Lytechinus pictus: one gene and its partner. The protein of the gene in region 1 purifies or fractionates together with the protein of each later gene. This does not show direct contact. Links are inferred from orthologs where the notes say so. Each region holds a gene or a part of one and is shown on either strand. Other genes may lie near its edges. The genes, in order: protein-lysine N-methyltransferase EEF2KMT-like and elongation factor 2b-like.

Region 1 (15,838 bases):
CCACTACGTTTCTCTTCCTTTCTCCCTCTTTTCTCCTTCCCCCCCTTTCCTCGTTTTTGTTTTTAGTCAGCCGATGGGGGGAGGGGGATGTGCCCCCCCATGTCCCCCGTAGTTACGCCACTGTATGTCCATATGGCAAATACCCCTCCAATATTATTATCTTTTTTTACCTCATGATGGTATAATGGTTTTATTATAGATTACATTCAAAAAATTTTGACATTCCATCTTCATCCCTTCCCAAAGACCCCAACATTGATGAATTGGAAGAAACAGGGGTTTCTCTTCAATGTTATAATAAGGATTTAGGAAATTGGCTATACAATCTCCTAATATTTATATAAAAGTTAGGTCCTACCTTAATTCTTGCTCGCCAGAAGATAGAATGTGGTCCAGCCGCTCAGAATCTCAGGTAAATTGCACAAATCCGTGAATAGAAATATATACACTTCACAATTTCAAATACAGTAGATATAAAGGGACAGATGTCACAAAATGTCTCGCGAAGTAATGAGCTCATTAAATATGCAGAGAATATAGACTTCGAATGAGTGGAAGTGACGGTAAGGAATAAGATTGGAAAATGCAGAGAAATAATTAAGTATAAGTTGATCCTCCACAAGATTTGATTCAATCCTCACTAGCAGCTGGATGAGATGGTCAGCATGAGTGGTCAGGACGAAGGCAGAGAGTAGAGTGATAATGTGATGGAGAAAACAAGTTGTTTTTGACCAACATCAGAAAAGGTGAGACAAAGAAATAAGCGCCAAAAAGGGTGGCAAAACGCAGTTGAAAAGAACAAAGAAGAGAGAGGTAGACTGTGAGAAAAGCAAACATGCAAGCATCTCTGTAGTGATGTTGTATACCTGCAAGTTCATTGCAATAAACAAGGGACAATGAAAGGATGTTTGCTCCAAGTCTAGAACAAAAGAAAGGTTGTTTCTCAATATAAGAATGTGTTTGCCAAGTAGATTTGGGCAGGAAATGAGTTGCCTTGTTCTGTGCTAGTACAGTATAGTAGTACATTGCACATGGCATAAACAAGTTAGAATATAGACATGAAATTGGAAATAAAAGAAAGAATTTATATACATGTACAGTATGTTGAAATATAAATGAAAATATATACAAGGAAAGAATATATAGATGTACATATATATAAAGAGATATAGTCAAGTCACTACAATTAAGGACATAAGTATTTCGTTTGGAAATGGTGAAATGGCTCTTTATTTGCATTTTATGATTTGATAATATTGTTTTATTTGTTAAGCGGTATTTTAGGAAGAATTTTCACCAATAAAACAATTATCTCTTGTGATTTTTTTTTCATTTCTTTCGTAAAAAGTGGGGGGATGTTTGTACAGGCCATCCCCCCTCCTCGAAAAGTGGGGGGGATATATCCCCCCATATATATAGCATCCCCCCCGGGATTTACGCCAGTGCCGAGCAGTTTTTGTAATCATGAAATTTTTATATCTAATTAACGAATTAAGTAGGGCCTATACTAACCATATCTAATTAAAGAATTAAAATTTATAAAGCCGTTTTAATAAAGAACCAAAAACGAGTGCGAAGCGCGAGCTGCTTCAGTTCAGCAATATTAATTCAATTCTTTTCTTTTCTTCAATAATTCTTAATGCCAGGGCCCTGAAAACGATTATTATTTTTTTACTAGGGGTGCTGGTTGGAAGAAAAATTAGTCAGGCAAAAAAAAAAACGAAGGTGATTTTGATTGGATTTTTTTGTTCTTTTTAGCATATCGGATTTCAGGGGTGCTCCCTCTAGGGAATAACACACGAAGCACCTCATCAGGCAAATTCTTGGGATGCCTCAGCACGTACGCACACCCGCTTCTCATGCATATAATGATCGAGGGCCAGGGGCGTCGATCCATTTTTGAGATTGGGGGGGGGGGGCAAAATCATGAATCAACATTCCAAAAAGGCGCTCGATCACACAAAACAAACAAACCCACATGCACACACACATAGGCCTATATATATATATATATAAATATATATATCTATATATAATATATATGACTCATGAGAAAGAGACACATATCTCACCAAAAAATTAATCAACAAATTGATGCGAGAGCGAAGCACGAGCTGAATTTTTTTAGTGTACTGACCTAATAACCGCAAAAAGGTAACTTTGTAGTATAACTCAAAGACATGGGGATACATAATTATCACTACACACATAATGCAAGTGCCGAGAGCGAGCTGAAATTTTTTATATTTTCACCTGAAAGCTTGATATTCTAAGCATTTTTGGTACCAATGATTAAGATGGGTAATAGATGCGAGCGCGAAGCGCGAGCTGAAAATTTTGATATTTCGATCTGAAAAAATTGAGTTTAATGGACGTTTTTAATAAAGAACAAGATATATATCCAACAAAAGATTATTGCAAATCGAAGCGAGAGTTCTTTTGAGGTTTAGAACTGAAAATGCCATTCTATTCACCTATTTAATCATGAAAAGTATGGGTTTTTGCTCCAGAAATATGATGCGAGCGCGAAGCGCGAGCACGATTTTAAATAAAATCGAGTTGTGTATCTCAATATCGCTTGCTGATTTTTGTGTAACATTACAATCTTATTTTATTTTTGCACATGCGGAATTATTGGGGGGGGAACGATGTTTGCCCCTCAATATTTTAATTGGTGAGGCGATCACCCTTCCCCCCTCCCAGCCCCCAAGGATCGACGCGAGTGCGTATATAGTGCGAGCTCAAAAATTTTCGGCAACTTCTCCAGTGAACAATTTAAGTGCATAATTATCTCTCTCTGCATGTAAAAAAAGAAAACTCCAATATCAACTTGAAGGAGAATAATTTTTGCAGACTAATTTCAAACGGGATATTTAACGGTCCATTCTTAACCTCTTAATTGAGCAGATTATTATCTCACTCAACTAGTAGCTGGCGACTTGCCCCCCCCCCCCCCCGCGAAATATTCGGTTTCAGCATTTCTTTAAAGGGGAAGTTCACCCTGACAAAAAGTTTATTGTAAAAATAGCAGAAAAAATAATAAAAAATATTGCCAAAGGTTTGAGAAAAATTCATCAAATAATTAAAAAGTTATTATAATTTCAATTATTTGATTTGTGACGTCATGTGCGAGCAGCATTCCTACATAGCGAATGGTAAAGAATCAATGAAATGTCATTTTCTCAGAAAATTGAAAATGGTTTTCACTGTACCTTTTGTATATCAATAGACAAATCATTTCACACCCGATCATGAATAGAAAAAAAATTAAGTCATCAGGAACCATACAAAATTTGAAATTCATGCATTTTATATTACATAACACATGGGGCAGCTGCTCGTTTATGACGTCACAAATCCAAAACTTTGAACTCTAATAACTTTCTTACTCTTTAACGGATTTTCATCAAACCTTCACCAATATTTTTTACTATATTTTCTGCTATTTTTACAACAAAGTTTTCTTCAGGGTGAACTTCCCCTTTAAAACCTGATCGAATTACTGACATATACGGTTTATCTTCCCTTCCCATATATTTCATTCACTTTTCTTCCTCTCCTTGTTTTTTTCTTCTACCCTCTTTTTCTTTTCCCCTTTTCCATTTTTCGCCGCCAATATAGGGGTGGCCGCTAATTAGAATTTGACAAATTAATAGCTATTGGTTTTTTTTCGACCTAGCTATACTCGTTGGAGGTTTATATGAAGATATAAATGATGTCGATTTTAAATGATATTAAAATAAACCAAAGGGAGTGAGAGGAAGGAAAAATAGAATTGGAAGGAAGAATGAAATAAATGGAGGAGACACATATTTTTTTCCGCCCACCCCCACCCTTTAGAATGCCGGATCGACCCTGCATCCCCCCCCCCACCCCACCCCACACACCCTCACAAATTAAGACCCGCATCTCTGCATTCTCCTACAATTAATTGCGCAATGTCTGCCACGTGAGTCCCGGAGGCGCGTTTCCGTTTTACACCCTGGCGAAGGCATTTTCCGCAAAAATAGCCACAAAGCGACTAGTGAAGAGTCTACACACGTCGCTGGTGGCAGCGTGCGACACAGGCGAGTCCCACACCACCGCATGCAGTCTGCACAGTTACTGATCAGAGCATTTCATGTACAGAGAGCAGTCATATGAGTGAAATCCGAACCGAACATGCTTTTGCAGTTAGGTTTTTTTATATGAAAAGTTAAGAAAAAGTTTTTTTTCTAAATATAAATTATTAACTAAATGAATAGAATGACAGACAAAATAAACAGATACATACAATAGAAAGAAAATTGAAATTTGATGGATTGATACACTTAGATGCCGAAAGATAGATATAGAAGACTGATAAATAGATAGAGACATAGATAAATAGATAGAAGTAGAGAGAGAGAGAGAAAGACAGAGAGACGGATAGATAGATAGATTGATAGATAGATGGGGGGGGAGAGAACTTGATAGATGGAGAGATGTTATAGATAGATGGATAGATAGATAGATGGATTGATTGATAGATAGATAGATAGATATATGGACGGATAAAGAGAAATAGAGAGAGAGAGAAAAAGACAGACAGATGGATAGATAGAGAGAGAGAGGGAGAGAGAGAATCTGAGAGATAGATATTAGATAGATAGATAAAGAATGAGAGAGACAGAGAAGATGGGCAAATTAACAGATAGATAGATACTGTAGTTACATAGATAGATAGATAAATAGATAGAGACATAGATGAATAGATAAAAGTAGAGAGAGAGAGAGAAAGAAGAGAGATGGATAGATAGATAGAGAGAGGGGGAGAGAGAGAGAGAGAGAAAGAGAGAAAACAAGACAGATGGATAGATAGATAGATAAAGAATGAGAGAGACATAAAAGATTAACAGATAGATAGATAGATACTGTACATAGATAGATAGAGAATTTGAGAGATATATTTAAAAATAGATAGATAGAAGATAGATAGATAGAGAGAGAGAAAGACAGAAAGATGGATAGATAGATAGATAGAGAGGGGGAGAGAGAGATAGAGAATTGAGAGATAGATATTAGATAGATAGATAAAGAATGAGAGAGACAGAGAAGATGGGCAAATTAACAGATAGATAGATACTGCAGTTACATATAGTTAGATATAAGATAGATAGATAGATTGATAGAGAGAGAACTAGAGAAAGACAGATGGATAGATAGAGAGAGAGATAGATAGATGTTAGATAGATAAAGATTGAGAGACAGAGAAGATTAACAGATAGATAGATACTGTAGTTACATAGATAGATAGATAGATAGATAGATAGATAGATAGATAGATAGATAGATAGATAGATAGATAGATAGATAGATAGATAGATCTATATAGATATAATTTGAGAGATAGATATATAGACGGATAGAGAGAAAAAGACAGACAGATGGATAGATAGAGAGAATTTGAGATCAAAGACTGAAATAAGTGAATGTTTACATACAAATAGAATCATAACAAAATATAAAGTAAACATTATGAATAAATATCAAATACAATACAAATTCATACAGATGAAAAAGAAATGTATCATAAATAAATACAAAGGGCCAAAAGTAATACAAAGTGTCACCAAAGAAGAAAAAAGCGGAATGAAAGATTAAGAAGAAAGAGATGGGAGAAGGGAAAGAAATTGGGATAAGACAAAGAGAAGGGAAAGCAAGAGGGGGAATTTGAAAGAGAATAGGAGGCAACCTTCAGAAAAAAAAACTCATTATGCAATACAAGACATTTAACAATGGTAACAAGTAAATAAAGTAGTAATTGAATCGAATCGAGCACAAAAAAGGGAAAAGTAGAGCTGAGGAAATAGACTCCCGAAGGAAGTCGAGGCAGTGTTGATATTGCACATGAGTAGATTAATAGATGGATAGAGAGAAATAAAAGAGAGACAGATGGATAGATGGATAGATAGATAGACAGATAGATAGGTAGATAGAGAATGAGAGAGACAGAGTAGATAGACAAATTAACAGATATCATGTAGTTCCATAGATTGATTTATAAGATAGATAGTGGATAGACAGATATGATAGATATAAGGATAGATATAATATGAAAAAAAGGTAATTATGTGTTTTATTTTTCAATATTTTAGCTATTATTCGTTTTCATTCATAAAAACGATCATGTGCGATAAAGTTAAAAAAAATCATGAAGCCAACGTATATAGTTCAGCGGAACAACCAAAATACAGAGACTGAAGCTTTTGGTCTATAAGCTCAGCTGCATTTGCACGTATGTTCTGCGGATATCTTCGGTGCGGACTTTTGGATCGCGCGCCCAGCTGATTATGTAAACAAACGTTGACGTAGACTCTTCACTAGTCGCTTTGTGGCTATTTTTCCGGAAAATGCCTTCGCCAGGGTGTAAAACGGAAACGCGCGTCCCGGAGCTCGGAGCTGAAAGTGCTATCGGCTTGCGGTGCGCTGCCGACGGCAGGCGGTATGACTACTACCCTACTACCCATACCTTCTTCTTCTTCTTCTGTATCCTTCCTCCGCTGTATCGGAGATCCGCAGTTTAATACTGCATTAACATTAGCGTTACATATTTTGACGTGAGAGTAAGGTAGATCGAGAGAGGTGAATCTTATGCAAGAAATTTAAGACAAGTAGGTTGAGGTCGTTTCTGGAGGAATCTGCTAATTCGACGTCAGGAAGAAACAGGACGGAAGCGGTAAATTGTTGAGGTTCTTGATCTTTGAAATGCACAGAAAAATACTGCAGTTCCTCGTCTTCTTTTATTAAGTTTAGAAGGGTTTTCCTGTGTGTGCTAAACGCTGGGCATTCTCCAACAAAATGTACAACACTTTCCAGTTCGGAGTGGCAGAACTTGCAGGACTTTGTGGTACTTTGATTCAGAGAGAATAACCTTCTATTCGTTGGGTATGTACTGCAGGATAATTGAGCTCTGATGGACATAGCTTCCCTCAGGAGAGGGCTGGAGACTTGCTTTGGGTAATAATTCTTTTTATCACGTTGGGTCATGCCCGACCATAGACTTAGAGAAGATTTTGTAGCAATTGCAATTTCAAGGGCAGCATAGTGTTGTTTATAAATTTTTCCCAGTGCTAGCTTCTTCCATACTTTATATGGAATGCGATCTCTAAGGATGTTAGGGAGACTTGGAAGCTCATAACTATTGAGGATTTTTATCCAGCGTCTTACCAAAGGTGTATTGTATGCTATACCATTCAACAGGATTCTTCTCTCAGTGCGTTCGTCTGAAAGGCTTGCATATTGCCCAAGTAAGAGAAGAATTTCATAGTCGATTCGCTTATCCATTGGGAGGATATCGAGCAATAAATAAACAATTTCGTCCGCCGCACTCCTTGGCAAACCAAGCACTCTTTTAAAAAGAAATGTTTGGGCCTTGTTCAAACGGGACAGCATGTAGTTGGTAAGTTGAATAATCTGAATCCCATATAGCATTCTTGGTATGCAGAACATTTTCCAAAGATGAGTACATATTGGTGGCAGCAGGCGTAGAGTTCCTTGCTTAGTTCCAGTGAGAGAGAAGAAGGTGTTATATCCCTTTGAAATGATGTTATTGGTATGGTCAATATTACAATTGCTTTTTACTATGCCAAGGTGTGGGTGCTCTCTGCTTTCCTTGATTGTCATTCCTCCCATTTTCCACTCGACTGAACTTACACTGGTTGATGCTTTTTTGTTTATTACTACTACGGCACTTTTTTGTGGATTAATTTTATATCTCCAATCACAGGAATAAGAGAAGGTGAGATCCAGCATTGATTGGAGTTCTCGGGGGCATGTACTAATTAGAGCAACGTCATCTGCTAGTACTATCACTCCCATGTAGCAACCATTAATAGAGCATCCAAGACAAGCGTTCCTTAGTGATTTGATCAGGCCATCGATGAAGACTGTATATAAGGTGGGAGAGAGCACACTCCCCTGTTTTACACCTTGAAGGATTTGAAAAGGAGAGCTGACTTTTCCTTCCCACATGACTCTACTGGTACTACCGTTGTAGAACTCTTCCAGTGTAGATAACAGGGATTCATGGAGGCCTAGGTTTTGAAGCTTAGAAAATAGGCCTTTATGCCAAACGATGTCAAATGCTTTCTGTGCGTCGAGAAGAGCAAGGTATGTTGTACATTTCTTGGCAGAGTTCAGTTGGATTATTAATTCCAGTGAAGATGCAGTAAGGAGGCAAGATTTGCCTTTCTGGAATCCAAATTGTAACTGGTCTGGGACATCATTTATTGCGAGTGGAATTTCTAGTTGAGATTTGATGAGCATTTCCAAAACTTTACCAATTGTTGAAGAAACTGTTATGCCTCGGTAGTTAGAAGGATCTTTTACATCTTTTCCCTTTCCTTTGTGAACTGGGACTATAAGGCCGGACTTCAAAGGTTCAGGAATATACTTTAGGGATATACATCGATTGATGAGGGCGAGAAGTAATTTCCGAGCTATTGGGCCAAGATATATAAGATGCTCAGGAGATATATTATCAGGTCCTGCAGCTTTTTGTTTCTTGAGAGAATTAATAGCTTCATCTAGATCTTTTGAAGTAGAGGGTTGAAGTGGTTGATTCAAATTTTCCTGGAACGGGCGAGTGGGAATAGCTTCATCCAATTCAGGCGGAGAAGAGGCATTCATGTAATCCGGTTTAGCAAGATCTGAGAAATGTGAGTTGAAGCCATCTAAAACTGCCTCTCCTTCATATGTTGTACCCCTATAAGACAGTGTATCAGTGGACCGAGATCCTTTAGTGCTTTTGACAAGCCTATAGAAGAGTTTATCATTGCTACCTTTAGCATCCTCAATTTCTGAAAGGAGATTATTGTGATACATCCGCCGTGCTTGCCTGATGCTACTTCTAAATAGACGTTTTGTATATACATGCTTGATCCAGAGAGGGTCCTTGCCTTTTGGTTTTCCGCTGGCCCTCCAGAGACGCCAGTAATATTGAGATTGTTTATAACATGCCTCTACCTTTTTGGTCCACTCTCTTTTCCCTTTCCTTTTTCTTTTCTGACGGCCCTTCGAGTGTGGTAGAGTTAGTGATACCTTCAACATTTCTTCGCTAAGTTGATCAAGCAGCAGGTCGATTTGAGTCGGATCCAAGCACATTGCAGGAAGATTATAGAAAAGGTTCTTTGATATTTGTTCCATAGGAAGAGTATAGAGAAGGTGTAGCTGGTCAGCACTGCACTGATGCCAAGATATCTTAGGACGAAGTATAGACTTTCCAGATCCTTTAGCTTTGCGATCAGGTATATCATGATCTACTTGATAATTGGCTAAAAGTGGTAGTGAAAATGTCACTTTAACCGGTGTGTGGTCAGAGGTGTTTAAAGGATCGTCATGCTGAATAAGAAGGTCAGAGAAGCAGTTTTCGAGTTTTGCAGGAATTATGAAGTCATCAATGTATGATTGTCGTAAACCATCATCTGATTGGAAGGTGTATAGCTCCTTTTTATTTTGGAGAGATGATAAGTTAATCATGTTCTCACTAATCAGAAATTCCTTTAGAATACGCTTTGTAGGTTTCTTACACGATGCATTTGTCAGATCAGCATTCAGATCTCCACCAAGTATAATCAGGGCCTCTTTATACCGTACCGCCGGCCGGCACGAGCTAGCTCTGGACGAGTCACGAGTACGGTACGCTATCGAAGACTCGAGGGTGTTCGTTTTAAGTTATTCTTGTTAAGCTGTTGCAGTCTGATGAATAGACCTTGAAGCGATATGGAAATGGACCAACTTGTGAACCAATATTTTGAAATGATCCCACTTCGACACTTGAGTTGGGTGAGTATTTTTTACGAGAATTATCAACCTGTTCACAACCAATGGCAATGGCAATGCAAATAATTCATGGCCTAATATACGGTAAGGGCTCCCGCCCGCGAAGCGGGCGCGCGGGAGGTCCCTTGGTTAGATCATGTCCTACCTCGGGCGAAGTTCGTGCAGACTACAGCCTGTACAGGCGCCATTACCGCTACACTACGCTCCACCTGCCCGAACATCGAGTCCGTAGGTGGAGCGCAGTGCAGCGGTAGTGAAGTGGAGTGAAGTGAGCTTACACGAACATCGCTCGAGGTAGTCCATGTCACACATGACTAAACCAGGGAGCTCATGATGTCCATAAGATGATATTTCGCATGAGGTGAAAGAAAGATGCTCGGCATAATCGTGATATAGTCCCCAAATCCCAAAATGGGGATTATTAGATTCGCACAGCTCGAGAACTTGCGAAATGATAACACACACAAATGAAACACACTTACACTTGGGTTCTCTCCCTATTATATACTCGTGATACAGTCCCCACTCTACGGGAAATCAAGTTTGATTTTCACGGCGGTGGGGACAGTTTCAACAGTATAGTATACTCGTGATGCAGTGCCCGCGCTATGGGATACACAGTTCACTTTGCACGCAGTGGGGACAGTTCAAACAGTATAGCTATACTCGTGATACAATCCCCACACTATGGGATACACATTTCGTTTGGCACGCAGTGGGGATAGCTCCAACAGTACTCGTGATACCGTCCCCTCACAACATAAAATCGTGCTTGTTCGACAAGGGGATGGGGACAGTTTCCCAGTGCAACGTGACAAGGAAGACTCATTCAAAACCTTCGGGAATTAGTATCAGGGTTGGCACGTTTTAAACGGTGTGTTTTAAAACATGTTTTAAAACACGTTTTAAAACACCCGTTTTTTTTACAAAAAAAACGTGATTTAAAACGCCTCATAGACTTGTGTGTTATGAATATGCATGGATGTGATTTTACATGAATATATTTTTTTATACTTTTATTTCTGAAGTGGTATATTATTTTCTTCTAACTAAATCTCTTTCTCAACACCACTCTTTTTCTCCTCTCTCTTTCCCCCCTTCTCCCTTTTTCCATTGCTTTGTCGTGTTCCTTTCCTCCTGTTCAATTATGTACATCAATCTATATATTCTCATTTTAACAAGCATTTGAGTGCTGTGCTCACTTTTAGACAGGGAAAGAAACACTATTAAAAATAAGCTCAAATATGTAATAGTAGTACTTGAATGAAATGGAAGTGTTGCACAAGCACAATAATATTTTGCAAATAGACAGTATAACTGACATTGTAACCTTGAGGTACACACTAAAGTAGGTGAAACTTTGCGCTTCGTAAAGATGAAGAAAAGTAGTTTAATTTATAATAAGATAATCAGCTAGCAAACCTTAAAGGACAAGTCCACCCCAAGAAAAAGGTATTATGCTGAAAATTTCATCAAAGCGGATGTAAAATAATAAAGTGATGACATTTTAAAGTTTCGCTTAATTTCGCAAAACAGTTATATGCGCATCCTGGTTGGTATGCAAATGAGGGGACTGATGACATCACTCACTATTTATTTTGTATGTCGTTTTTTTCTCATTGTCATGTAAAATATAGTTTTTTCCTCCCTGAACATGAGTGGAACTACAATTGTTTTAACATTTTTTGGTTCAGTCAAGTTGGTCATTATTATCAAATCTGTATAAATTGAAATATTGTATTGTTCAAACAATTAAAAAAACAAAAGAAATAGTGAGTGAGGGACATCATCAACTCTCTCATTTGCACATCACTGAGTTGTTATAAATGTTTTGTGAAAAATAAGCGAAACTTTAAAATGTCGTAACTTTCTTATTTCACATCCGATTTCGATGAAATTTTCAGCATTATGCTTGTTTGAATTTTTTCTACTGATTCAAATCAACATTTTTCTGGGGTGGATTTGACCTTTAACCCTAACAATCCCAGGGGACTGTAATGGCCCCCTTAAAAATTTCTATGATAAATCCATAAGCACGGCAGGGCCACGCCATATTGTTCAAGACTATTTTTTGGATACATGCATGGATATGCGGTTATGATATTACCATGGAGCTATCAGCACATTGATAGCTCCATGATATTACACAAGTGCATGTCAGACCAGAATTGCTCAATATCGTGATTTCATGTATAAAGCCAATGCAAATTTTTTGCCAACATTTGATCTGTATCAATATTTGTGCTTTTTGTTAATGATTGGAAAATTATTACCAATAATTTTCATTAAAAAACTTTTAAAAAAAACCAAAAGTAACCACAAAACTGTACATAAGAAATATTAAAAAAACAAGTTAAAAAAAACATTGAAAAAAACAATTTGATCAGAATTCCTCAATTAAAGAAATAAGCAGTTCAAGGGCCTAATATTTATAGATTTAAACCCAAACTTATATTTCATGCACTTGTGGGTACCCGGTAGGATGCGAAAATCATTGTAGCTTGTCCAGTACTGTGTGCGCCTCACTAGCGACTGACTGGAATACTACCCAGGGAGTGGAGGATGTGCATGCATTGTGTGCGGGAATGACTGATTGATCCGATGACTGGCTTAATAATATATCTGTAAAGTGCTTAGACACATCGTTCCAATGTATTAAGCGCTATATAAAAGCGGACTATTATTATCATTATTATTACTTAAAATTGGTATAATTGATTCAAATGAAATAAAGCATATTGAGTAAATGAAATTAAGCTTTGAAAGCCTATATTCTATAGATTATGTTGTTTTCTTACATAGCGCAACTTCTTCTCACCCCCTAGATTGACAAGACTAAAAAACCCTGAGACTACATGTATGAGGAATAAACTTATAAAATGTCAACTTAATTTTTCGGCATTCAATTTCCTTGATTTAGTAATTTTGGGAAAAATATGAATTTTTCTGTTGAAAATTCAGTAACAAAAATTGTAGTCATCTCTTACTTACTCCATAAATGTATTTAAAACATCAAGAGCTTAAATCATACTGTATTAAGTGTATAATTTAATTGATTTACAGGAAAATTACATCGTTCGTTGGAAAAAAAAACGTTTTAAAACGATTTAAAACGTTTTAAAACAATAAAAAACGTTTTATTTGTTTTTTTTAATAAAAAACGTTTTTTATTACAACCCTGATTAGTATTGTCATCATCATATTATATTATCATTTTATCATTATTAATATTTTATTATTATTATTGTTATTTAATCATAATTATCATTATTGTTATTATCATTATTATTGTTATTTAATCATAATTATCATTATTATTGTTATTATTTATTTTATTATTACTATCATCATCATACATCATTATTATTTTTTATCATTGTTATTATCCTTTATTATATTATTATTATTGTTGTTTTTATTGTTAGGCCTATTATTTTTATTATCAATATTTTGTTATCATTATTAATATAATTATTTTTATAAATATCATCATATATCATTATTATTCTTTATTATTGTTGTTGTTATTATGGTTATTATTCTTTATTATATTATTATCATCATCATTATTCTTTATCATTGTTGTTGTTATTAATATTGTTATTATCCCTTATTATATTATCATTGCTGTTGTTATTATTTTTGTTATTTTTATTATATTATTATTACTATCATCATAATAAATATTATTCTTTATTGTTGTTGTTATTATTATCATCATAATAGTGATAATAGTATAATAAATTATTATATTATTATTATCATTATTATTCTTTATCATTGGAAATGTGCCCCTTCCATCCAGTCCGTTCCTTGTATTTCATTTAATTCCTTCAAATGAAATCACTGTAGACTCATTCATAACTTTTGGGTATTATCGTAATTATTATCATCATTATTGTCATTATTTTTTATGGTATTTATTTATTATTTACTTATTATTGTTATCCTTATTTTTTGTTAACATTATTTATCTTTTATTTTTATGATAATAATTATTATTGTTATTATTCTCTATTATTACCATTATATTTACCTTTATCATAATTATTATCAACATCATTATTGTTATTAATCTTTATTATCATCATCCCCATCATTATACTATTGTTGTTATCATTACTTTACTTTTCATTTCTGTCACATATTGGTATTGATTACTTTAATGTTTTGGGGTGACTCTTTCAATAATAACAACAACAATAATGAAAATGATGCCAATGATGATCAGGTATTATGATAATAATTAATACCCAAACATTATTACGAGTCTACAGTGATTTCATTTGAAGGAATTAAATGAAATACAAGGAACAGAATGGATGGAAGGGGCACATTTTCAATGATAACGAATAATAATTATAATGATAATATAATAATTTATAATATCATCATCATTATTATAATAATGATAATAACAACAACAATAATAAAAAATAATAATGATATATGATATGATAGTAATAATAATAATGATATTAATAATATTGACAATATTTAACAATAATTATAATAGCAATAATAATGATAATTATGATTAAATAACAATAATGATAATAATAATAATAATGATAATAATGATTAAATAACAACAATAATATGATAAAATGATAATAATGATAATATATGATAATGACAATAATAATAATAATTCCCGAAGGTTTTGAATGAGTCCTCCTTGTCACGTTGCACTGGGAAACTGTCCCCATCCCCTTGTCGAACGAGCACGATTTTATGTTGTGAGGGGACGGTATCACGAGTATAATATACTGTTGGAGCTATCCCCACTGTGTGCAAAGTGAACTTGATTTCCCGTAGAGTGGGGACTGTATCACGAGTAGATACGGTTCTCGGGAGAGAATCCAAGTGTAAGTGTGTTTCATTTGTGTGTGTTATCATTTCGCAAGTTCTCGTGCTGTGCGAGAGTTGGGGACTGGGGGACTGTGTTCTGGAGAAAGGAAGTGATTTTTCATGCGTTCTGGTAGGTGTGATTCAAATAATCCCCATTTTTGGATTTGGGGACTATATCACGATTATGCCAGATGCTCTTCAGTATTTTGGTCTGTTTGTCATTAAGATTCATAAAAGACTCAAGAAGTACATGATGATGAGGGCTTGATTTGTGAATTGAAGATGTTCTGTGCACCACCAAAGATTTGGGAAGGGAAAGCATTATTGGCACCATGCAAGCCTCTTTATTTAACTATATTGACTCGCCTTGAGGGGAACATTAAATATATCGCCAGTAATCCTATTGGCCCAAGTCTTTAGACTCTTTTGAGTCTTTAGATGTGGGCAATATGGTTCTGTTATTGTTAAGGGCAATATATTTTATGTTTCCTGAAAGAAGAGCCAGTCAAATACTTTTATTATCCAAATCAGACATCTAAAGCAAAATCGAAAAAATACAGATATTTTACTTTTTCAGAATGTGATTCTATTTTTTCATGTTGAGCAGGCTGTGTCTCTGAACTACATGTATACAATTGTGACGTATTTGAAATGTTGCCGTATCCAGCTTTTGTCTCATCTTGTTTGACATTATGACTTACATATATATTGTGCTGTGTGGATCAATATGACGCTTTTTAATGTCTTTCTACATGTATGCGTACTCAGATGCCCGGATGTGAGCCCAGGGAAAATGCAACTATATTTGGGTCGTCTCAGCATACAAAGTCAGTACGGCCATAAAGACCGATGAAAATGTAAATAATGTACCTATCGATCCTTCCCGATCTTTATGAAAGCTAGGGCAATATGGTTTTGTAAATTTTCAGCTCAGACGTCTGATACGGGTATTAATATCTTTTATTTCATTCTATGTTTCCAATTTAGGGGGATGCCTTTAATTCAGCTGCTCCTTCGCTAGAGAAACAACAGAACATTCTCAAAAAGGTATGTCAAGATGTCAAGTCAGTTCACTATGGCTTAGGTATAACTTTAAAAATGCTACTACAACTACATGTAGCTATGTAGTACTACCACGTCTACTACTGCTATGAATAATACTTCTGCTGCTAGCTGCTACTACTAC
Region 2 (15,893 bases), on another chromosome or scaffold:
AATTTCAAACAATGAATTACTTAAGACCAGTTGACTCTATCAGAGGAATATATCTTGATTTATCTTAATCATTTAAAAAAGGAAATAATTATTTTAATGATAATGTTCATACTTGATAATTATGATAATATTAATAATAATAATTACAAAATCAATAACAATGATAACAGTAATAAGAATGATAACAACAATGATCATAATAATCATAATAATTATATTAATTATAAAAAGAATGATGATAACAATGATAAATGATAACGGTAATAACTTTCTCTGAATTGCAAGATTCATTTTCCATAATTCGTCATATGATCTGACTTGAAATAAAATCATTATTTATTGGACCAGTACAACACCAGTTTGATGAAAAACAATTTAACTGGTATTACTACTTTGTTTGAACTGGTCTCCAGTTGATTTTTACTGGTACAGTTAAAAATCAACTGGTCCAGTACATATACTGGAAACCAGTAAAAATCTACTGGAAACCATTTATTGGACCAGTAGCATCAGTTTGATGAAAAACAATTTAACTGGTATTACTGATTGCTTCAACTGGAATGCAGTTGTTGGAACTGGTCTCTAGTTGATTTTTACTGGTCCAGTTAAAAATCAACTGGCCCAGTAAAAATATACTGGAAACCAGTAAAAATCTACTGGAAACCAGTAAAAAAAAATACTGGTCTTACTGGTTTTTCCTTCTGGGGAACACCTCCATGGGACCCCATCCATGTGACCTATACCATGAACACCTATCGACATCCATGCCTACATTACTGAACAAAATTTGGGTCTGACTCTGAAGCCCCTTCCTCTGGTTCCGCGGCCCCTATTGATAAAATAATATAGGCTCAAAATATAGAAAAACAACATGTGTTTCCCCTGGCTATTGCGACATCACCTGACACGCGTGTGTCACGGATGTTGCGCAATGTCACAATTTGACTGTGTGCACTCATAGAGATGTATTATATATATCTCTATGTGTGCACTACACATTCCACACATCGCTCGCTAGCGAAACACACTTATCAAGCGCGCGACTTCGGCAGACAATTAACGTCGATCGCCCGACGACCAAGATTTAACACACGGACCGTATACGCAAGCTAAATCGCACGCATATATCGCACTGCAGCTGTGCACTAGCGCATAGCTGCTAAGCTGCATACGTTGCATCCTTTTCAGTTACCGGCGTAAACCGAGTAACATTTTATTGACATCTGGTGGGAGAAACAAAGCAAATATCCAAAATGGTAAGTCCCATCATTGAAAAATCATCCGACATCTATTATATTTAACTAATTTACAATGTTTATGTAATGTTGATTTTACGCTTTTGATTGGGGAAATCTGTAAATATTCGTAATTCATTAACTAAATCGACCGGCAAGTGAATGAATGAGTTGCAGAGTTGCTCAATACTTACAGTACAGTCGAGTCGTACACGAAGTAATCGTGCATGAGTATGAGTATGACTGAGCGTGACGCACTGCGCTATTTTAATTTCAATGTTTTTTAGTAAGCAAGGGAGCCCTTGTTATAATCTATAGGCCCGCCAACATTTTAAAGACAAAAGTGTGAATGTGATGTCTTAGTTACCTTGAATTTTGATTCTGACTCCTGTTTCTCATGAGTCACTCATGAGTCATGACTCATGTAGGGACCCCAATGAAGCAAAACAAAAACAAATCTCCTTCGTTTTATAATATTAAAATCACTTAGGCTACTTGTTTAAAGTAAGTGGTACTTATCCATTCAAATAAGTCTTGTTATTCCAACATGTAAATGAAATTAGAAAAAAAGGGTTCAAACTTGGCCCAAAACGTTCAATTTCCCCATTGACTCCGTCCGCGCTGCTTTGTGTCAATAAGGCTTTGCGGCCAGTTTTAGACAGTTTGGGACGGAGACAGCTGCGCGAAAATATCAGGTGATCGTTGGCGCATCGCGTAAGTCCGATGACCCCAAAATATAGTCTTGTAAATGACGTCGCGTCCCGCGCCGTTATTCAATAAATGATCTCGGTCCCGAAATATTTCCACCCAGTTAAAGTCACTTTTAATGTACGTCCATCGAACATTGATAAAACAGAAAGAAAGCGTGAGTGAGTCAAGGAAATGAGAGAAAACAGAGAGGGAAAAGTAGTATTTAAATTGTTTTCAGATATTGCTTGTGTGCCATTAATTTGTGAAGTCATCAAGCTCGAAGAAGAGCAGAATGCAGATATTTTGATCGTTAAATTATTGTTGCATTGTTATGATTTGATTCCTTACTAAGTTACTTTAAATTTGATCTAGAGTATGGTGATATTTGACATCTATTAAATTCATCGAACTGATAATCATGTCATGAGCTCTGTCTCTTAATTTTGGCAGCCTACTACCTCGGAACATTTGCTCATGCAAAGGCCGTCCGACGAGTAAAAAAAACACGCCCGTCTTAACATTTTAAATAGCTCCGTGGTTTGAATAAAAATGAATAAAACGGCCGTCGTATAAACAAATGTGACCGAGGTAGAGGACTGTTGTAGGCTCCAGTGGCTTACGCGGGGGAGGGGTAAAGACCAAGTCAAAATAGTGATCATTATTTATTTTTCATTTTTCGATCTTAATTACCGCCCCCCAGAAAAAAAAAACACCTAGCTGTCCTTACCAGATCATTCTCCCAGGAAAATATGTTCACCTTTATTGTTCCCACTGAATGTCGACCTTACTCGATGTTCTCATATTTCTTTTCTCCCCCCCCCCCCTTTCGTATGGAACAAAGAAATACGCTATAGGAGAATGCTCTGGTAGGGACAGGGAGCTCTGTATTGGGAGTGGGGGCGTTGAGGGACATTATGGTTGGAGGAAAATTTTTATATAGGTTATTTTTGTTCCTCTTCCTTTTCTGTTATTTTCTGTAAATGTTTCCTTTTTATATCAGATACACTACAGTCACATTTGCTCTATGGTGGCAGAACGGTGAATAAAAAAAAACAGCCGTTTTAAAGATTTTAAAAAATAGCTATATCATACTAGGTGGGTTGGTTACTAATAGTTTGAATATAAATGAATAAAACTGCTGTGTTCGACCACCGTACGGCTGCCGTAAATCAGATCAAAATGTGACTGAGGTGTTACACGCTCGTAAAAATAAGGAAAGAGGGAGGGGGGGGTAGAGACAGTTATGATATTTTTATCGATCTGATTAAGTCGCCTTACCTCCCCCCCAAGAAAAAATAAAAAAACTACCTCCCAGTCTCTACCATTAGCATTCTCCCGTGAAATTGTTCCCACTTACGAAAAGGACGGGATGTCGACCTTGCTCATGAATGTTTTTTTCCTCATTAACTGCTATCTTTTTTTTTGGGGGGGGGGGGGTGGGGAGGGGTGTTGAGTGACATCATGCATGGTTGAAGGAAAAGTTTAAGTTAATTGTCGGGATTTTGGGTTCGGCGCCCCCCCTATATATTCTTTGTTATTTTATATACGTACATGATTTAAAAAAAATCTCAGATAACGGTAAAAGCCAGTGATTTTATCTCTGTAGGCCTATAATATATAACGACGTAAACCGGGACGTATCTTCCCTTTTTTTTTATAGAAAGGGTGGGTCAGTGTATGAGAAAAAAATGTTTTCATGGAAAAGAATCAAGTTATTAAGAACATTTAAAATTAATATTTGTATATACTGCAATTTAAAATAATTTAAGTGAGGTTTAGGGATGTTTATTTCAAATTCTCTCTCTATAACATAAAAATACATTAATAAGGTTTGAACATTTCCGCAGTGGAAAATAAAATTTGAATTACATATTAATAATTATGAATTGTAATGGATGATTCTTACCTGATGTGGTAAATGCCCTCGTCCATCTGGAGTATTCCCTGGACCGGAAAGGCAGGGGTACAACCAGCTCAGGGATCCCTGGGGGTATTCTCGTGTTATATAATTCAGGCTAGGACACACTAACCCATCATGGGATCATTCAAAAGATCAATGGAAAGGGGTGCTTTTCACTGGTCAGCACATGAATGCTTTGACCCAATCAGAAGTGAAAACGCAAAAAAAAACATGACTCATTTTATCTCATGAAATGTTCCCACCGAAGACGACGGAATGTCTGGCTTCCAAGACCTTATCGGACAGGCTGTTTCATGTCTGTCAACACTGCGGCAACTTCACAGAAACAAATTCTTTCACACCCTCCTTATTCCGAAAAATCCATGTAAATTACTTTCTTTTTGTTGTCAACACCCTTCTGCATTAATCTTTTGAAGTATACACCGCGGCAACTTCACAGAAACAACTTATTCTTTCACACCCTCCTTATTCCGAAAAAGTCCATGTGAATTACTTTCTTTACAGTTGTAATATTTTTGGCATTTCTTTACGTAATCAAATTATCATTTTTATTGTGCTGTCCTGCATGAAGAGTTCATATTTTTTGGATCCTGCAGACTGAAGAAATAAAACGTTGCCTTTTAATGCAGGTTCCCTCATGTTTCTATTCGCCGTATTATTCAATTTAAATAAATGATGCCATGTCTGATTTGTACGTCATGTTCATTCTTCTGATGTAATATTTGTATTATGTTCATGATTATGACTTGTGAAATAAGTGAAATAATGTCATATCTCAAAATTGACGAAGAGTTCCCCATAGCAACCTTCAGAATATTTTTCTTTTGGAAAACTCACCGGCACCGACCAGGGACACCGAAGGAGGGGGCAACTCTTTTCACTTAACAAAAAAAAAAGAATAATAATTAAAAAGTGAGTATTCTCGTCTGATCGTTGTTACATGATGATACCCTTACCCCCACCCTAATTCAGAATCCAACCCCTGACCCCTACTGGGATAGCTATATAGAAGGGGTAATTAAGGGCCACCCCATCGATCCTCCATAATATCCCATGTAGGAAGTTGAGACTCATGGCGGAAAAAGGAGTAAAATCGAGAAATGTAAACGAGCTATGTAGGCCCCCTCCCCGTGTAAAAAAAAAATCAATATAGGCCTATTGCACATCCCTTGAAATCAGATGTAAATTCAATTTGACAGTCGCATTGGATACCTAATTTATTCATATCGGGTTACATTGGTATAAAAGCCCCATAATAGCGTGACTTTTTTGCCACTTTTTGTCAACGCTTTAAAAGGTCCATGTTTGAACCAGGGATATTGCATATCCCTGTTTGAACTATATTTTCACTCATGACAGGGCAAGATAGACGAAGTGTTAGAAGAATGTTCCCATAAAAAAGCAGATTACGGATGTAAAAGTCAGCGGGGGGGGGGGGGGGTGGGGGGGGGGGGAGTCTCTCACCGAAAACGTTTTTTTCCAACTCTCCGCTCAATCATATAAATGGCCTCCAATTTTCAGGGGGTTTTTTTGGGGGGGGGTGGTGTAAACGGGTTCTTTGCAGGTATTTTTTTTTTGATATCCATTTATTTATTTTTGCTAAGAGCAAGGGCGCAGGACCGAGGAAACCCATCCCCCACCCCCTCCGCCTATACATTAGAAAATAAAAAAATAACTGACATCTCGTCGAGTAATTTTTGTATCCTAATTTTACAACAATCAGTATGTTACTGTTAGAAATAAAATCTTAAATGTGTGTGATTGTGAGAGGGCATATATACATATATTGTGCGTAAACATTGCAACTTAAAACATTGATTTCTTAGATTTCTTAATAAACAAAATATACTTTAGTAGGCCTTAACAATTGATTACTAATCAAACTATACACACCGGGGGATTCCCCTATTTTAATTTAGCCCTGGGATTTAGCCCCCAGAGCGAATGTACAGTTGCAACGTACAGGTCCATGCTTTACACACGCAGTTTTTAAATCCACTCTAACTCCATTATTCCCATGCCACCATCTCGGTCACAGACCTTCTCACACACAAGTGTAAACATCCTTGTACAGAATTCCCTGTATCACACGTATATGCCGCCATTATGCCATGTGCAATATCTCACACACACATGACCTTCCAAAACATCTCTCCTTGTATCACGGCGATTACACGTGATTAACATTTGTAACTGAGGAGGGGGGGGGGCTGAATGTTCCTAAGAGAAAGATTGTGCTAGCCTTCATCCTTTCACATTTTAAAATTATTTTCATTTATTTTATTTGGATGATATCCGTTCACAACGTTACAGAGTTTAAACGAACTTTACAAATCATAAAAATTGCCTGAATCAAGACTAATACATGGTCTACGTTCGCGATAGGCCCCTCCCACCACTTCGCGCGATCTTCAACTTCATGACGATAATTACGTCACGTACACGTCATATGGAGGTTTTTGCTTTGCATTTTAAAATTTGAAAATAAATTCACTAATTTTTTTTTCTTAAATTAATCTAGATATAAGACTTCGTCTAAAAACCATCTTTTTTAAGAATGAAAAGTCCCAAAACGGGCCCCAAGATGTTTTAATTGAATATCTTTAAGTAGAATAGGGTGGGTCCTTCAAAAAGATTATACAGCTCAGCATGCACTTCCAAGACGGTCCCTGAGACATGAATTTAGGGAAAATCCCAAAAGATGCAGCAAATGCAGAATTTTTATTGGTCAAATTTTGGAGGGTGCCGCCCCCAAATCAAACTTAGCTCGCTCACACGCAATCCTGGTGACGTCATGGTGACGGGTCGCGTGTGCAAAACTTTGAATTTCCCCATTGACTTTATACACATACAAACTCTGCAGTTCATGTGGAATACAAGGACAAAGTACGATATTTTCCCATTCAAAGAACAAGTAGAGGTAAGCCATTCGAAAATATAGAATACTAAATAATTACTGACAAATAATTACCGATCCTTTTAATGCCAAATATATCATAGCTACCTGAAATAACTGAATTTAGGGTGAAATTATCAGTCAAGAGGGATGCATTATTGGGGCTTCGTAGGATCAACGGACGCGCTCGACGCACTCGCAATGGTATGTAGGGACTTTGATAGAGCAAGTACCGAATATACCGTTGTCCCTAACTCATGTTTGTTGACTGTTGATGTTGTGTGAATTATTTGAAAAAAGGGATGGTCCGGGCTGAAAGTATTGGTATAGCTTGATAAATAGAGTAGAATTCACTGAGCAAAATGCCGAAAATTTCATCAAAATCGGATAACAAATAGGCCTAACACTTAACAGTTATTGAATTTTAAAGTTTAGCAATATTTTGTGAAAATAGTAGGCCTAGTCATGAATTATTGAATATTCATTAGCCTAGGTCGAGTAGGTGGGCTGATGATGTCACATCCCCACTTGTTCTTTTGTATTTTAGGGCCTAGGCCTACCGGCATGACCGGTATATGAAATTATGTTTATTCAAATTTGTTTTCCTCCAAGAACTACTCAACTAGAGTAGAATTTAGAAATATTACTCAGTAATGATAATTGATATACCTATTTATTTAGGTGGGCTGATGTCACATCCCCACATAACCCAGGAAGCTTACCGTGTATTTGACCATAGTCACCGGACTAGGGTGATTTATGGTCTAAATATTTCTCCAAATGAATTGTGAAAACAGAAACTTACAATTACCACGATTATATGGATGAAGGTCTAACGAGTGGCAGTTTCCTGACATCTGGGCACAGACTGGAACCTCAAAAAAACGAAACGTTCTCTCCTCTACCCCAGTCTCGATCAGCCATTTTGTTACGATTTTTAACAAAAATGGCCGATCGAGACGGGGGTAGAAGGAGAGAACTTTTCGGTTTTTTGAGGTTCCAGTTTGTGCCCAGATGTCAGGAAACTGCCACTCGTTAGACCTTCATCCATATAATTGTGGTAATTGTATACTTTCTGTTTTCACAATTCATTTGGAGAAATATTCAGACCATAAATCACCCTAGTCCGGTGACTATGGTCAAATACACGGTAAGCTCCTGGGCTCCCGCGCAGCGGGCGGGAGCTCCCTGGGTTAATCCCCACATTGTTTTCTTATGTTATTGCATAAAATAATATTTTTTTTATTATTTCATAGTACTTGTGTGAATGATGACAATGTTTCCCTTAGCTTATAAGTATAATGAAATAAGTTGCAGCAATAAATATCTAGCTAGGGCCTAAAGCACTAAGCCAGTTGCCAATCATGTAGCGCAAAATCGCTCTCGCGCGCCTTAAAATCGAGTCCCTGAGTAGAGGTGCACGGCCAATATAGGAGACTCTTTCCAAAGGGAGACACTTTCCAAAGGGAGACAATCTCCCATATTGGACACTTGCTTTGCAAAAGAACAAAGAAACACCAACAAAAGCATGATTTTTTTTCCACCCAAAATTTTGTCCCACTGAGGTCAGAGCCCATTTGTTTCATGTGTGGATGACAACAAAAAACCTTATAAAAACAAAAGTAGACGGTGAAAAGGGGTAATTTTTCATGAGTTGAGGAATCTGCTTATCAGTATCACATTTTTATTTGCCGCCAAGTTAATTCTTTTGCAGCAAATGTAAACAAAGAAAATTGGTCTCCCAAACTGGAGACTGTCTCTGAAATTGGATACCCAAATTCTTGATAAAAGTATCTTGATATGGGAGATAATCTCATGGGAGACAGTCTCCCATATTGGACGTGGGCCGCTACTGATCACGGAGCCTTGAAATGCTTGCCATATAGACTTTATGCATAAGCGAGATGACTTGTCAACAAGGATGGATTTCCCTAAGAAATACATAATTAGACAGTGAGATCGGTTTGTTTCTCTTGATTTTATTTATCTATGAACCTTTACCGTATATGCAATAGGCGTATGAAGGTTCATAGATTAAAATTATTTTAGTATAAATATGAAAAATGAGAGGTTTCTTACCAGACCGATCTTTTGTAGATCCCTCGATCCATTCGTAAACACCGCAAATACAATAGGTTTGACCCTGCTTCGATAAGTGATGTTACAAAATGCGTGTCAATCGGTTTTTGTCTCACCTGCATAGCAGAGTGAGACTATAGGCGCCGCTTTTCCGACGGCGGCGGCGGCGACAACAACAAATCTTAACCGAAGGTTAAGTTTTTGAAATGACAGCGTAACTTAAAAAGTATATGGACCTAGTTCATGAAACTTGGCCATAAGGTTAATCAAGTATTACTGAACATCCTGCCTGAGTTTCATGTCACATGACCAAGGTCAAAGGTCATTTAGGGTCAATTAACTTAGACCATGTTGGGGGAATCAACATCAAAATTTTAACCTAAGGTTAAGTTTTTGAAATGTCATAACTTAAAAAATATATGGACCTAGTTCATGAAACTTGGACATAAGGTTAATGGTTAATCAAGTATCACTGAATGTCCTGCATGAGTTTCACGTCACATGACCAAGGTCAGAGGTCATTTAGGGTCAATGAACTTTTTCCAAATTGGGGGTATTTGTTGAATTACCATCATAACTTTGAAAGTATATTGGTCTAGTTCATAAAACTTGGACATAAGTAATCAAGTATCACTGAACATCCTGTGTACATTTCAGGTCACATGACCAAGGTCAAAGGTCAATGAACTTTGGCCATAATGGGGGTATCTGTTGAATTACAATCATAACTTTGAAAGTTTATGGATCTGATTCATGAAACTTGGACATAATAGTAATCAAGTATCACTGATCATCCTATGCAAGTTTCAGGTCACATGAATTAGGTCAAAGGTCATTTAGGGTCAATGAACTTTGGCCAAATTGGGGGTATTTGTTGAATTACCATCATAACTTTGAAAGTATATTGGTCTAGTTCATAAAATTTGGACATAAGAGTAATCAAGTATCACTGATCATCCTGTGAAAGTTTCAGGTCACATGATTTAGGTCAAAGGTCATTTAGGGTCAATGAACTTTGGCCAAATTGGGGGTATTTGTTGAAATACCATCATAACTTTGAAAGTATATTGGTGTAGTTCATAAAACTTGGACATAAGAGTTATCAAGTATCACTGAACATCCTGTGCACATTTCAGGTCACATGACCAAGGTCAAAGGTCAATGAACTTTGGCCATAATGGGGGTATCTGTTGAATTACCATCATAACTTTGAAAGTTTATGGATCTGATTCATGAAACTTGGACATAATAGTAATCAAGTATCACTGATCATCCTGTGCAAGTTTCAGGTCACATGATTTAGGTCAAAGGTCATTTAGGGTCAATGAACTTTGGCCATGTTGGGGGTATTTGTTGAAATACCATCATATCTCTATAGTGTATTGGTCTAGTTCATAAAACGTGGACATAAGAGTAACCAAGTATCACTGAGTATCTTGTGCGAGTTATAGTAGTTTTCAAAGTCAGCACTGCTGCTATATTGAATCGTGTGATGCAGGTGAGACCGCCAGAGGCATTCCACTTGTTCTCTATTATACTCAATAGGAGCATACACTTTTCTATGCAGATCGATATAGCAGCCAACCTATACAGTATGCACACGCAATATTACCACGGTAAATCATATACAAGAGATACTATAGCGCAAATAAAACGTACGGGCGGTTAAGGGCGGTTCAGTGTGTAACAGGAAGGGCAGTCTCGGGCGTTTCAGGGGCTATTTGGTTAAAGAGATATTTGGTTAAAGAGATATGATTGGAATTATAAAAAAATGTTGCCTTTATTTACCCCTCTCCCCTATTTAAAAAAAAACCAGAAAAATAACATGAGAATAATATTGGTTTAAGTGGCCATCTTGTTCTCTTTGTTAGTAGCTTAGTTTGGATACGCATATATCGCAAAAAGTCCCCAGATGATCAATAAAATCTCATTCAACCCTAAATTAATGCTAATTATGTGAAAGGTGAATAGGTGTATTCATGTTAAATGTGTTTATTGAAATACCAGTGAAGTTTGCCCAGCGCGAGTATTGTGACATCGCTACTCAGTGCATAATATTTGTATTGATTTCTACATGGTATGTAAGCAGAATTATCACTATTTCATTTTACAGAGTCTATGGGGAAATGGAAATTCTGTTTTCAGACATGCTGAAACAGACTTAGATTTTCTGAAATGGAAAATCACTGTCCCTGTAAATCTTAATGGTAAATACATGCACATACATGTAAACACGTAATATATTTGTAGAGGTAGTAGTATTGATATTGAAAGGTGAAAATACTCCTTTTTTTTCTCCACATGTAGGGATTACTAACTGAAGATAAGGTTAACATTATTTTCTTGCCTAATGGATATAAGTGTATTCTTCTGTACTTTCCTTTTGGTGTTTAGTTTATTTGGCTACTTTTAAATGTTATGTCATTTTTTTTTTTTTAAGGTGAACTTCACAATAGATCAGATCCGTACCATCATGGACAAAAAACAGAACATTAGGAACATGTCTGTTATTGCTCATGTCGATCATGGCAAGTCTACTCTGACTGACTCTTTGGTGAGCAAGGCCGGAATCATTGCCACTGCAAAGGCTGGTGAGATGCGATTCACCGACACCAGGAAGGATGAACAGGAGCGTTGTATTACCATCAAGTCTACGTTAGTATTGATTTGTAGTTTAATTTGAGTAATGTTTGCTTTTTTATCTACATGCAACATGTATCTCCAAACCTTTCTGATTTCCCTATGGAGGTACTCACACAACCCTAGATTTCTTACCATCCTTGCCCTCTTGAAACATGAATGTCTTGGCACTGATCAATATGATGAACAAGGTGTTTTCATGGAAGCACATACATCTGTATTACAGTTGAACTTGGTTATCATCTTATATAAGCCTGGTATTTTACTTCAAATTTTTTTTCCATCAGGCCACATGTGCTGGATATACAAATAGCAAATAGGCATGAGTGCAAGGTTTCGCCTATTCACCGAATGTGAAGTGTTGCACGATTGTATGAATAAGGATATTCGCTATTTGTGTTGTACGCCTCGAAAGTTAGTGAAAATACGAAGAATAATCATTTTCTCCTACGTAAATCTATGAAAATAAGAATTATTTGTAGAATAAAGAAAAAAAGACCATGAAATGGCAGTAATGGAAATCAAAATTTTAGTATAGAAGGAAAAAAGTATTTAAAAAAAAAAATTTTAGGAAAAAGAGGAAAATGAAGAATAAAGGACATTATTGCCTTTTTTATAACCGATTACGCTAGATCATGATAGATTTACAATTACATGCATATTGTAGAGCATTTGCCCTGCATTTTTTGCTGTAAAAAAGTTTTCATCACAAAACAACCATTAAAAAAAAAAAAAAACAATATTTAGAAATAATAGTAATTAAATAATGTAAAACAACCTTTATAATAGGAGTGGGCTATACGTGGGTGAAAAAATACTTTTTTGGTCATTTTAATATGGCAACAGTTTTTATTTTTTACGTGCAAGACTCTTATGACAAGTGTTATTACATCCCAGTTATTCACAATGAAATTTTGATACAATTCTGTTGCGTGCCCTCGCAAATAACGATATTTCTGGTTATTTTTTCATAAGTGGGCGAGACACTAAATCGGTTATGCCTTGTTGTTTCTCTGGATTAGCTGCACTTGACTTTTCGAGATTATAAAGCAGGGAAAAAGATGCTTTTTTTTTTAACAGGAAAATACATTAGGCAATGCTACATTGCAGCCACTGAGCATAGTCTTCCACATCATACCCGTAAAGGCAAAGACAAAAGCTCCGGCCTCCTTGATAATGATTATAGGCTTAGTCTAGTTGACATCGTCGACCCATATCGAGTAATTAAAGGTATTTTTTATTATGAATAATTCTTATTGGGCCAGAAAAATTTATCCATACCTTTCAAGAGAACTCAAGTCTACTTATACCAGGCCGACTACATGTTTGTTTGCTGTATTTTTGTTTCATAGAGCCATCTCCATGTACTATGAGCTGTCAGAAAAAGACATGTCATTCATCACGCAAGAGAAGGACGTAAATGACCGTGGTTTCTTGATCAATCTCATCGATTCCCCAGGCCACGTTGACTTTTCTTCTGAGGTGACGGCTGCTCTGCGTGTTACAGATGGAGCTTTGGTTGTTGTGGACTGTGTCAGTGGTAAGGAGGTTTTAACTGTCATAAGACTCAAAGTTTAGTGGATGACAAAATGCCCCCCCCCCCAGATCTCGCTAGTTGATTGAAAGATCACAACAAAAATTGACACACACTTCACCATGACTGTATTTGTGCAAACGTTGCATCTTGAATTGTTCTTAAGTCTTAAAAATTTATTTTTATTGAATTATGCTAATTTATGCATGAAAGAAGAATATAATTGTAAATTACGAATATTATCCCTGAATTTTCTTACCGATAACGATCAAATGCACATAAAAAAGGTCAAAATATTTTCATATATATTTTACTGTCACTGAAATTCCCTATGTATCTTTTATTTGTGGAAATGGTTAACGGTACACCATTTTTAAAGTCCTGGAGTAACTGAGATAAGAAAAGTGGATAGAAATGGAGGTGAAATGGAGAGGTGAAAAAGTGGAGGTTTGAAAGCCAGCCTTCTCCCACCTACTCAAGCCTGCCTACTAATCAGCTTTCCTCTCCTTTTTGTTTAGTCCTTTAAAGGACTACACTGTTTTCGAAGAGAATAATCTACTCTCAAACCTCCACTTTCTCTTCTTTTCCATTTCACCTCCATTTCTATTTTCTTCTTATCTCTGTCCCTCCAGGACTTAACACACGGTGTACCATAAACTATTTCCGCAATTTTTTAATACCACCTTGCAAACCTTCAAACATCCGTATCTTTTATTGATTTTTCAATTGGAATTGCTGGGAACACTTCAGATCATAAACACTAATTACCAGGGTGTAATTAATTGATTGATTATGAAGTGATGAAATTAATTCATTATAATTAGTACAAGTAAAAGTAATGATATTTACATGTATCAATTCTGGCTAGAAACAGACATTGCTTTGATTTTTACAGGAAATCACATTTTTTAGTAATTTTGGTATGACATGCATTTTTACAGTGAACATGTAATTTCAAAACCACATCGCCTGGTGTGCAAATGTGTCAAAAAGTTGGCAGGACTTTGAGAGAAAAGGTTGTGAAATGACATTGCGCTAACTTTTAGCCGGGGGGCAATTCCCGTCACCAGGTCATCCCTGGTTATACCTTGGTCACATTTGCTCTACGGCGGCTGTACGGCGAGTCGAAAACGGCCGTTTTAACATTTGTTGTCCAACTACATATAATATAGGTGGTTTGAATTAAAATTAACAAAACGGCTGTTTTCAACTCGCCGTACGGCCTCCGTAGAGCAAATGTGACCAAGAGATTACAACCTCTGCCCCTGAGTCGTGTTTCTTTAATTTTCTCTTGATAAATTTTTGACTTAATGATAAATGTGTCTGATGCCTTATTGTCCCTGTAGGTGTTTGTGTGCAGACAGAGACTGTTCTTAGACAAGCCATCGCTGAGAGAATAAAGCCTGTTTTGTTCATGAACAAGATGGACCGCGCTCTTCTGGAGCTTCAGCTTGAAATGGAAGATCTCTACCAAACCTTCCAGAGAATTGTTGAGAGTGTCAACGTAATTGTTGCCACATACGCTGATGATGATGGACCTATGGGTAACATTCAGGTTGGTATTGTTGGGGATTAGACTTAAAAATTTATTGTTGTAAAGAGTCAGCTTGAGTTGGTCACACCAGAATCTGACCAAGTCAATTAGGAAATCGCAATGTATTTCCCTTTCTGGTGTTCCAAAAAATAAGAAAATAAGTGACATTGGTATAGTTCATGGCAAAAAAAATCCATCTGAGAGTAAATATTTTGGAAATTATTGCTTTCTAAATGTAAATTAATTTCTAATATAATTGTATTACAGTACTATCCCTATTCTTTCTGTGGTTTGTCCAAGGCTCTTGAAGAAGTATTACCACTTAGGCTTTGTCCTTAATCTGGTTCCCTTACATCGAGACAATATTTCTAAGCACTTGACAGATATTTAAGACGGTGACAATGGTTTCATGAAATACCACTTTTCCTGTAATTGCATTTAACAATGTATTTTGTAACTTAGGTTGACCCATCGGCAGGAACTGTAGGCTTTGGATCTGGCCTCCATGGATGGGCTTTCACTCTGAAGCAGTTTGCTGAGATCTATTCTTCTAAGTTCAAGATTGAACCAGCCAAGCTTATGAAGAGACTCTGGGGTGACCAGTACTTCAACCCGAAAGAGAAGAAATGGAACAAGGTTGGAGGCGAAGGCTATGTACGAGGATTCTGTCAGTTTATCCTGGATCCTATCTACAAGGTATACCCCAACTTGACTACCTAATTGTGGATTTAACCCTAATTTAACTGGGCTATTTCAGACCAGGATATACGGGTGGAGGTAAATTTGACCCCCCCTCCAGATTTATTAGCTGCTGATTGCTTGACCGCCGCCAAAATTTGCACACGCATAGAGCCGGATGGAAAATACAAGACAGTATTGTAAAATTTCAAAATATTGATTTTTTTTTTTCAATATATTTTTTAATCAATTATGCAAATTATTTTGCCTTAAATTTTTCTTGTGTATGTTTTGCCTTTATCTCACTTTATATAGCTAGTAGAATGCTAATTTTTGGAGAAGATATAATTCTTTACATTTCTATCAAGTATCTACAAAAAATTCCCCCCATGAATTTCCTATGTATTTTATTGCTTTTTATTGTTTTTTTTAAGTCACTAAATCACCAAGCTGCACAGTCAATAAAGTTTGCGCAGCAGTGTAGTAAAGAAATTAAAAGAATATTTTCCAACTTGCTAAGCTCCACCTCATTTCCTCCTTGACATTTATCAATCTGAATCAGCATCACTAACATTTTATAAAAGACAATGCTAGGCAACTTCCCACAGCTCAGCACATGCTCACAGATGACATGCTTTTATACAGTACAATACCTTAAAATTGCCCTTCATTTGTTGGTGATGCTG

Evidence for each region.
Region 2: the proteins of protein-lysine N-methyltransferase EEF2KMT-like (region 1) and elongation factor 2b-like purify together in Homo sapiens (affinity purification with mass spectrometry; 3 studies listed by BioGRID and IntAct, counting the BioPlex papers as one, with this or other methods). This does not show direct contact. The link is inferred for Lytechinus pictus from reciprocal best matches to the Homo sapiens genes EEF2KMT and EEF2.

What each region holds. Positions count from the first base shown.
Region 1 is NC_087254.1:35,544,828-35,560,665, forward strand, and holds the start of protein-lysine N-methyltransferase EEF2KMT-like, read left to right. Parts: upstream 1-9,606; 5' UTR 9,607-9,741; coding exon 9,742-9,804; intron 9,805-15,338; exon of another isoform or gene 15,339-15,509; intron 15,510-15,639; coding exon 15,640-15,699; intron 15,700-15,838. UniProt on the Homo sapiens protein: Catalyzes the trimethylation of eukaryotic elongation factor 2 (EEF2) on 'Lys-525'.
Region 2 is NC_087249.1:23,432,502-23,448,394, forward strand, and holds the start of elongation factor 2b-like, read left to right. Parts: upstream 1-8,024; 5' UTR 8,025-9,781; intron 9,782-9,957; 5' UTR 9,958-11,234; coding exon 11,235-11,476; intron 11,477-12,813; coding exon 12,814-13,001; intron 13,002-14,341; coding exon 14,342-14,550; intron 14,551-14,991; coding exon 14,992-15,225; intron 15,226-15,893. UniProt on the Homo sapiens protein: Catalyzes the GTP-dependent ribosomal translocation step during translation elongation.